2 linked regions of the Drosophila melanogaster genome follow. The protein of the gene in region 1 binds, or shares a complex with, the protein of each later gene. Each region holds a gene or a part of one and is shown on either strand. Other genes may lie near its edges. The genes, in order: cid and cal1. A codon is read from its position in the direction of its gene.

What was found.
Region 2: the proteins of cid (region 1) and cal1 are in contact, whole or in part, in a crystal structure (PDB 6XWS), measured with the Drosophila melanogaster proteins. Residues at the interface, in NP_523730.2 of Drosophila melanogaster: Lys150 (codon at 2,391), Ser154 (codon at 2,403), Arg158 (codon at 2,415), Pro169 (codon at 2,448), Leu170 (codon at 2,451), Arg171 (codon at 2,454), Val172 (codon at 2,457), Thr173 (codon at 2,460), Glu174 (codon at 2,463), Gly175 (codon at 2,466), Ala176 (codon at 2,469), Leu177 (codon at 2,472), Ala179 (codon at 2,478), Glu182 (codon at 2,487), Ser183 (codon at 2,490), Met186 (codon at 2,499), Tyr187 (codon at 2,502), Gln190 (codon at 2,511), Arg191 (codon at 2,514), Asp194 (codon at 2,523), Met197 (codon at 2,532), His201 (codon at 2,544), Val209 (codon at 2,568), Arg210 (codon at 2,571), Leu214 (codon at 2,583), Met215 (codon at 2,586), Ile218 (codon at 2,595); in NP_650597.2 of Drosophila melanogaster: Ala4 (codon at 2,047), Val5 (codon at 2,050), Val6 (codon at 2,053), Asp7 (codon at 2,056), Thr10 (codon at 2,065), Met14 (codon at 2,077), Arg18 (codon at 2,089), Ala21 (codon at 2,098), Trp22 (codon at 2,101), Lys25 (codon at 2,110), Phe29 (codon at 2,179), Glu33 (codon at 2,191), Asp34 (codon at 2,194), Gly35 (codon at 2,197), Met36 (codon at 2,200), Glu37 (codon at 2,203), Ile38 (codon at 2,206), Asp39 (codon at 2,209), Val40 (codon at 2,212), Phe43 (codon at 2,221), Asp44 (codon at 2,224), Leu46 (codon at 2,230).

The regions. Positions count from the first base shown.
Region 1 is NT_033778.4:13,483,748-13,487,261, forward strand, and holds cid (centromere identifier), read left to right. Parts: upstream 1-1,869; 5' UTR 1,870-1,943; coding exon 1,944-2,621; 3' UTR 2,622-2,884; downstream 2,885-3,514. Other genes in the region: cbc (crowded by cid), read right to left, coding at 40-157, 226-733, 824-1,376, 1,445-1,537. UniProt on the Drosophila melanogaster protein: Histone H3-like variant which exclusively replaces conventional H3 in the nucleosome core of centromeric chromatin at the inner plate of the kinetochore.
Region 2 is NT_033777.3:17,086,365-17,092,462, forward strand, and holds cal1 (chromosome alignment defect 1), read left to right. Parts: upstream 1-1,915; 5' UTR 1,916-2,037; coding exon 2,038-2,118; intron 2,119-2,175; coding exon 2,176-5,034; 3' UTR 5,035-5,574; downstream 5,575-6,098. Other genes in the region: GckIII (germinal centre kinase III), read left to right, coding at 1-1,362; cher (cheerio), read right to left, coding at 5,676-5,860, 5,923-6,098.

The sequences.
Region 1 (3,514 bases):
ATTTCTTAAATTACATCTAGAGCAGAGCATTTACAAATGCTAGGTATGATTATCCATGAACTGCAGTTCCGACCACAGGAGCAGGGCGTTCGGGGGCAAAGGTCGCGGCTGCGGCGAAAGCAACATCACTGCCTGTCTTTCCATATCCACTTCGGTTCTGAGGATAATCAAATAACAATCATATATAACTAGTATAATATCTAGTTTAGGTTCAGCAGCACTTACACGCAACAAAAGCCGGCCACATTGGTGCCAATCACATCGTCCTCCACGGACTCGGCAAAGCTGAGGGCCAGCACATGATGGATTAGGGCGGGCGTGGGTGTAACCGCCACCACCTTGGTCTTGTTGTCCTCCGCCTTCATTCCAATTGGCATGCAGGAGTCGGGCAGCGGCGGTGCGCCGATCTTGTAGAGTCGCAGGTCCTGGAACTTCACCTCGAAGCTGAACGGATAGAAGGGCGCCCTTGTATTGCCGTAGAAGTACTCCTTGATGCGCTGATCCCTCGCCTCGTGTCGCAGTTCCTTGCTGCGCTCGACGACGCCGCCGCTCTTGGGCAGCAGTACCACATGAACTCCCTTGGGAACATCTCGAAGCAGCTCGTTGTATAGTCGCTCCTGGTCCAGAACAAAGATGGCACAGGCTCCATAGGCTTTGGCCGCGTGCAACAGGTGCGCGTAGCCGGATCCCTTTACCCAGCCACAAGTGTTTATAATAATGCCAGAGCTTTTTGCTGCAAAAAGCAGATGCAGAAATTTGCAGTTTATGAACGGGAAAATGTATTGAAAAGTGCAAAGATATGTGTTACACCTTCCCAACTTACTTCGCTTGTTGCTATTCAGAGATTGCAGTGTTACCTCTGCCATTTTGGAAACCACGGCATTGTACAGCACGCTGTTTCCGCTGGGAGACTTATGGCCAAAGTGATAGACCAGCGGCGCTGTCTTGGCGAATCCCTCCTCAACGTTCGCCGGTCGCTCGATGAGAATGGTGGCCACACTCCCGGAAATGGCAATCGAGCCCTGTCCAACATCCAGGTCGGCGTACAGCGGTCGACGACCCACGCGCACAGCATAGTTAAGCAGGATGCGGCACAGAGTGCTCTTGCCCACGTCCATGGGACCGACGACCATGGCCACTGGTCCGTAGCGATCCTTCTCCTCGGCCTCCATGCGGAACTGCTCCAGTGCCGCATGACAGTTGACGTACTGCACCATTGGCGTCTCCTTGGAGATGTAGCACACGTCCATTTTGCCGGAGACGTGGAGTACACAGCCCTGGTACGTGAAGATGGCCACCTTGGCGCCCACGCCGAACTCGTACTGCTTTTTCTTCACCAGCTCCGTGCCGAACAGCTCCGCAAATCCACTGACCAGCTGAAATCAACAATTTGATTATAAATAACGAATTTATTGTAATCCAAAAAGGTTTTTGCACTACTTACGGACACCAGCACTTTGGCATCCTTCTGCTCGATTTCAAAGCGCAGCTCGGAGTCGGACTCCAGTGTGTAGTCTTTGCCTTGGTCCTCCGACATGGCTGTATCTTCAGTGCTCTGCTAATGAGTTTTAATGGCGAAATAGGGTAATTATCCAAAAATTTAGGAGGTAAACAATTTCACATCAGCTGTGCACTAACGATGGGAATTGATCGATACCTGTATAGTAGTAATTAATCGATTTCTAGGGGTATAAATGATCACTGCAAAATAAGTTAAAGTACTGGACGTCTTTAAACAATTACCATGTATTCCCATTAATATTAATTGTCACATAAATAAACATATTTTAATTCTCAACTGCTAGAAATATATTTAGTTAGTCAGTGCCCATTCAAATCGGTATCGGTACTGGGCATTATTTGCTTTGCTTTATACGGTCACACTGTTCCAAAAAAGCGGGAATTCTTTAAAAATATTTTAAGCAAATACCGAAAATTTGAAAATGCCACGACACAGCAGAGCCAAGCGCGCACCCAGGCCGTCGGCGAACAACTCAAAGTCGCCGAACGACGACGACACGGCCTTCCGCTCGCCGGAGCCAGAAGACGGCACCGACTACGGCCTCGAATTCACCACCAGCCAACTGACGCTTCAGGACAACAATCGGCGTTCCTCGACGTTGCGCAGGGACGCCGGACGGAGGCAGCCGGCAGCGAGAGACAGCTCCACCAGTGGCGAGGAGGAGGACCAGGAGAATCGCTATCCCACAACCAGATCGCCGCAGACGCGTCGAATGACCGTGCAGCAGGAAAGCAAAACGCGAGCAGCAGGGCCAGTTGCTGCGCAAAACCAGACCAGGCGGCGCAAAGCGGCCAATCCCATGAGCAGAGCCAAGAGAATGGATCGTGAGATCCGGCGACTGCAGCACCATCCCGGCACACTGATACCCAAGCTGCCGTTCTCGCGTCTAGTGCGCGAGTTCATCGTGAAGTACAGCGACGACGAGCCGCTAAGGGTCACCGAAGGCGCCCTATTGGCCATGCAGGAGTCGTGCGAGATGTACTTGACGCAGCGGCTCGCCGACTCCTACATGCTAACCAAGCATCGCAATCGCGTCACACTGGAGGTGCGCGACATGGCATTGATGGCCTACATCTGCGACCGGGGTCGGCAATTTTAGTCCAAAAGAGAAGTTTAGGCTTAGTTTAGTTATTTGTTTGAATAGTTGTGTATATCCATTGTAGTGTTTACGTAATGAAAAGTTCAAAGAGTTTGTTACATCCCCCTTTTTGTACCAATTAGAATTAGCTTTAAATAAATATTTTTGCTCGACAAGATTGTTAATTTCACTCAAATGGTTCAAAGTAATCAATTCACTCAAATAACTCGTGATTTTTATAAGAATCGGGATGAACTTCACCAAATAAATAACATGTCATTGAGATACGTATAGCATTTCGTTTTATTTCTAGTTCTTGCTGCTTGCTTCGTCTCCATTTTCATGTACAACATAAAACATAATCCATAATAGTTTAACTATAAAGTTGCCGGCCAGCGCCGTGCGAGCTACAAACATAGGGTTTCAGCTAGGATTAGGATGCATAAGATGTAGTCACGCGAAACGCACTTAAATTATGGGCCTAGTCCAAGGTAGGTAGTGCGCTTTTTGAAATGAGTCACCATTTAGAATGTCGCGGCCCATCGGACGACCTCGATGTATAGAGAACTAAGCACTTAAACGAGTAACATGAATAGATAGATAGTTTAGATACTGGCCTCAACTGAATGTGGCAACTGCGCTCGCACTTGATCTGCTGTCTTTCGTGGGATGGATCGATTGCCAATGGGTGGTTACAGGACTTAAACGTAAGTTGAGCTTTCGTCAAGCTATTTTCTGGCTGGCGGCTCTGCTTTCTTTTTGGCATTTGCACATGTGTTAATTGGGCGCAGTAAAAGTACTGCTGTCTAGATATATTACAACTTACACAATCATACAAAATATAGGTATTTATTTTCTTTAAATATTTAGCCATATAATTGATATCCGGAGACTGCAACAGTTCTGTCTCCCAG
Region 2 (6,098 bases), on another chromosome or scaffold:
GACATCTGGTCGTTGGGCATCACGGCTATCGAACTGGCCAAGGGTGAGCCGCCCAATTCGGAGCTGCATCCGATGCGCGTGCTCTTCCTCATCCCCAAGAACAATCCACCCCAGCTGACGGGCAGCTATACCAAGTCTTTTAAGGACTTTGTGGAGGCCTGCCTAAACAAGGACCCGGAGAACAGGCCCACGGCCAAGGAGCTGCTCAAGTACCCGTTCATCAAGAAGGCCAAGAAGAACGCCTATCTGATTGACCTGATCGACCGCTTCAAGAAGTGGAAGGTCTCCAAGGGCGACGAAAGTGAGACGGAGTCTGAGAACTCTGACTCGGACTCGGACGCCAAGCAGGGCGGCAGCAGCCAGGATGAGCCCTGGATCATGACCGTCAAGGGCCTGCATATCAACAGTGCTCCGCGGGCGGGTGTCAACAGCTTCCAGTTGCAGGAGCACGAGCTAACCATGCAGAAGCTGATGCAGACCACACACTCGCCAGCCGGCGGTGGTGGCGTGCAAGCGTCCCCTGCTGCAAATGCATTATCGTCCTCTGTGTCCGCCGTGGCGGCGTCAGCTTCCTCCGTATCGGTCATTACAGCCAACGAAGGTGTCTCCTCTGCATCCGCCCTGCCCCCCCAGAACAGTCACGTCCACAACCACAACCACAACAACATTAACAACAATAACATCAGAAACTTGAGCAACAAGCATGCCACCACCACCATGCTGAACGCAGCTCCTCCGCCGAGCAGCGTCACAAGCTCGTCGTCGGCCAGTGAGCTGCAGCAGAAGCGTTCCAGCTCGAAGCCGGAGCTGCGCCAGTCGCGATCCGCCGCCCCTCTGGATCAAGTAGAGGATCGCCGTGCCTCTTTGGGCCTGCCATTGCAGTCGTCGGTTCCGACTCCATCGACGGCTGAGCAGCAGCAACAGCGCCGCAGCAGCCAACGTGAATCATTCCATGCAAATAACGCCGCGCTGGTTGCCAGCTGCAGCAGCAGTAGCAACAACCACAGCCACGAGGAGCATGTGGCCACCAACCATGCCAGCCATGTCAAGCACTCTGGGGCGGGACAACGCCTAGTCCAAACGAACAGCGCCTGTCTGAACAACTTCCTCTTCCCCGTGCTGAGCGACATCCAGCGAAAGTACTCCGGCGGAGGATCTGCAGGAAGCGGAGGATCAGGCGGCCGTAACATAGGCGTCGGCAGCGACATCGGCGACCTGAAGTCTGTGTTCGAGCTGGCCGAACGTTCCAGTCCGGGAGTGAGCGACCTATTTATGAAAGAGCTGATCCACATGCTCGTTCCTGGTTACTCGGAGACGCGAATCAATACGATCATGGACCGCGCCATACGCAACCGCAAGTAGCTGGCGAAGCCGTAGCAAATTCCGATTCCAAGCAGCCTATTTTAATATATACACAACTTTATTAACGACACCGAGACAACACAAACTGAAACGCTGGAGCAGACATATTCCGACATTTAGTGGCCAACAGAGGACCGGGAGCGATGTACATGTATTTCAATTGAACAGTTATTTAAGCATATAATATGTATTCGTTTGTTTATCTGCAATATTAATCTAATGTAAAACATATATAACTTCAAAATAAAAACCCCACAAAAATAAACAATTCGATTTTGGCGCGCTAATGCGAACTTGGCATCATTGGTGACTCCGAGTATTCATTTGATCTGGCAACGCTGGACGCTAGCGAAAAATGCAGTAAATAAAAAAATAAATAAATTGAATAAACAGGATATCGTTAAATAAATAATAATTATAATCAAAAAGCCGTGCAAATAGAACATCAAAACGACCTTATTGGAAATGAGGAACCCAAGTTTTCTATTTGTTTTATATAAATAAAAATGGGACGTGTTTAGTTAAGTCGCGTTTTGGTGTATTTTTTGGCGCCTTGGAGACGGTAACACCAGTGGCAACGCCATTTTTGTTGACTCTTTATTTTTGTGTTTTAAGATTTCTTTTAGTTTTTATAAATTTTAATCAAGTATTCCGTGAACTGATAACTACATAACCATGGCGAATGCGGTGGTGGACGAGGAAACACTGGAGGCAATGGTCTACGAGCGCTCTAAGGCCTGGTCCAGTAAAATGGCGGTGAGTCCGTAGAAACCCAAGTGGCGTCTCTTCTTGATGGACGATATTGTTTTATAGGATTTTGCCAGCCTGGAAGACGGCATGGAAATAGATGTGGCCGAGTTCGACAACTTGTTCCACGGCGAGGACGAGGACCCCGACCTGGATGACGTGGCAAAGGAGGCTGTGGAGGACAATGTGCCCGACGAGGCAAAGCTTGAAATGGGCCATATCAACGCCACCAGCGTTACAGAACTGACACTTATACTTTGCGCCAATGAGGATAACGAGGCAAAGGCGGAGATCGAGGAAATCCTTAATCAAACGGTGCCGGTGGTCGAGGAGCACAAGCGCAAGTGGCGGGAGGCGGGACTGGATCGCATTCTGGACACTTTTGATGAAAAGCAGATCGAACACCATGTGGGCCGCTGGATGCGAAGGCACAACAGCGTCTACCTGGAGGCCTCACCACCAAAGTACCTTCCACCGCACCACAACTCAATCTCAGACGAAAGCGACGAATCGATGCACTCCATCGACACGGCTCGCTACATCCAGCAGAGTCGTCGGCGCAATGCTCACATGACCAACAAGAACATGACCACCATTAAGATGTACCGTAAACACTCTCACAAACGAGACGAGTTGCGGGCAAAGTACGCCTATGGTGACGAGCAGGAGCATCGTCACCACATGCAGGCCGTGTTGCTTCGCCGACGTGAGAGGGAGCGCCAGCTTGCATATCTGGCGTCTACGCCGATGCAATGCGTCTACTCCAGCGGCCATCATATGAGACGCAAGAATCTGCGTAAGCGGCGCATAAACTCCTGGATGTTTGACTCGGCATCCAGCAGCGAGGAGGATACATCATTCGGCGGCTGCGACTGCCACTCCTGCCGGAGGCATTACGCTCTGTCTAGAAGTGTCTACCAGTCCTGCCCGTACGGCAGAGGTCAACGCGAGTATCACCACCGTCAGATGGCATCTCGAACCATGCACACCATGCGCCGCCAACACACCTTCGATATGGAAATGGACTTGAGACCAAGGCTGCCAGAGAACGAGTGTAGTTGCTGCAATAGTGACCGCCTATGCTCCAATGTCATTCACATTGCCAATAGCTCAACCGAAGAGTGGGTGGTGGAGAACAGAAGTAATCATTTGACCCAGGAGACACAGGAAAAGACTAGGAAGCAAAAGCACCAACCGATGGATGCCAGGAAAGTTAGTCATCAACCGGTATGCTCCAAAGGTCACGAACAAAAGCCACTGAGTTCGAAAGCTACCTCTGTTTCCAAATTGGTCTTATCGAAAGAAAAGTATATGCAAATGTTTGATAGTGAGTCTTCCGATGAAGATAACGCCTTGGCTAAAAAAGGATTGCTATGCTGTTCGGATAAAAAAAAAGGAATGACATTTCCAACTCCAAATGCCGCTGGTAAGATTACCCATCCTACTTCCTCGGCGAAGAAGGCTATAAGAAAAGAAGCGCGTCCCAATGGTTTGGCACAAATACAAGAAGAAGGGCCGACTGCAACGAACTCTCCAATTGAATCCACGTATCTTCCAGTTGCTCATATGAAAAGCGTATCTATTGACGGATCAAGTGGTACATCTGCAACATTTGAATCTCCAGCAAAGAAAGCGCCTAAGAGGGGTATTAGGGAAACTTCACCACTCAACGGAAATGAATTACAGCAGCTGATATCAACAATCCCTATAGCTGACGAAAAGGCATCGAGTCTTATGGAAAAAGTGGATAATTGTATTGGAAGAGAATCTTTCGACGACAGAAATAAGGATTTCATGCACATGGAGAACTCATCGACTAAGACTGCCGTTGAAAAGTCTACCAAACAGAAAAGGGTTTCTGGTAAAAAGTCCGAAATTCCAAAGAGTATTATTACTAACAACGAAATCCTGGAAAAAAACAGCACTGAAACCTTATCTGAAAAACAAGTTGCAGCTAAGGCAAAAAAGCAGTCAGTTAGAAAGACAGGTGCGACCGGAAAACCGTCTACTTCGAGATTGAAAAAGTCAGAAAAAACGAAAACAACTTCTTCTGTGACTTCGACTTCGAAGTTAGAGCAAGTCAGGGAAGAGGAGTCCGATGTATCATCAGAAGTACTGGCAAAACCTAAACCACAATGTTCAACTACGGCAAGCATTTTAAAGCAAGGTGGTGATGGGGCATCAAACTCGGAGGATGATCTGCAAATAGCCCTGGCTATGTCGAAGGCCACCTACAAGGAGGAACAACAGAAGCGCAAAAAAACGAAAAGGGAGCCATCTAATAAGCAGCCCCAATCACCTGCAGAGAAATCAATGACGGTATTCAACAATCAAAGCGTAGCGTGCAACTCCACAGCTCTGGCCAACGACACGGCTTGCTACCGCGTGCTTCCCAAGAGACGAGGAGTCAAGAGGGCAGCCGCTGTTAGCACTACGGAGGAGAAGACAGCGACGAACAGCTCGAGCTCCCCAACGAGCAGTTTGGAAGAGATGGGCAGCCCCACAGGCGGGGATCCTGACTGCACTGTAGTTACATCTACCACTGGCTGCGAACCGCCTGCAAGTGAACGACAAGAGATTCCAGCGACCATCAAGATCACCAAGCGCGGCATTCTGCTGCACAGCCCTTCCGCGCCGGAAGGCGCCAGCTTCACACTGACCGAGCAGGGACTCGGAAAGATTATTGGAGAACGTTGGGCCCGCAAGTACCTGAAGTACCACATCGGCAGTCGGAGCTTTGATAGCCGACACTCGGTTTACTATCAGCCGACTCCCCAACTCGCCGCAGCTCTCAGTGCACCGCAGGATGCGCAGAACATCGGGAACATCTCGGGCTCAAGTGCAAGCGATGATGACATCTTCGAGCAAATCAATCGATATGGAACGGTGTACAGCATACTCGAGAATAATTCCGGTGACAAGTAATTAAGTAGTTAGGTTTCATATTTCAGACCTATTTTTTAAATATATTAGGTTCATGTTTTGGTTGTACATGACGGATTTCTTGGTGGTGTTAAACACGTCCTTGCAAAAGAAATTATATAAGAAAAGTTGTATTTAGTTCATTTTTTTGTGTTTTGATTTATTTCACGTAAATTACATGATCGATAGTGATAATAGAAAACATAATACGTCATAATCATTTTAATCATCATAAATTTTTCGCTTAAGTATTAAATAATTGTTTAAGAGATTTATTCGCATTGCAATAGTAATTCTTGTGTGTCGAAGTTGTGCTTTAGTTCGTTTCCATGAAGTCTATCAAAATTCATATCGGCAATTGTTAATTTTATGTATTCACAAGAAAACAAATAAAACGTAAGATCAATTTAAAGAGTGAAAATGGCGCGTCGAAAAACAGAAGCTTCTTCCTTCCATGTATGTACAAATAACAAAAACTTACCTAAAATATGATGATAAATCAAGAAATTAAAATTAAACAAAGAGCGTTATGATGAAAACAAGAAACACACGACTTTTGACCCTGGAACATGCGCGCCCACACACATACACATGCGAAGCATATATCTACACGTACACATATGCCTGGCCGGCTATATAGCGCCCTACACATCGATCTGGAATGGGGAGCCGGGTATATGCTCCTCGCCCCACTTGATTAGGAGCACGTACTGGCCGCGATCGCGCACCAGATACTGCACATTATAGTTGTTGTGGCCAGCGTGCTTCACGTGGAACTCCTCGCAGGGTCCCTTTGGTCCGTACATGCCCACGTACAGGATGTTGTTGCCTTTTAACAAAAGCAGGATATATTATAACATCAAGTTTAAAATGGGTATGAATATTACTCACCCGCATCGGTGGCGCTGATGCTGAACTGGTTCTGCTTGCCAATGTAGGCCTTCTTCAGGCCCATACCCTTGGACACCACCTTGCTGGCATCCGACTTAAAGGTGGGCAGATGGACGCCCGTGTTCTTGCCTCCTTTGGCCACCTTCTGCACGGTCTCCACGATCACCGTGGACGTC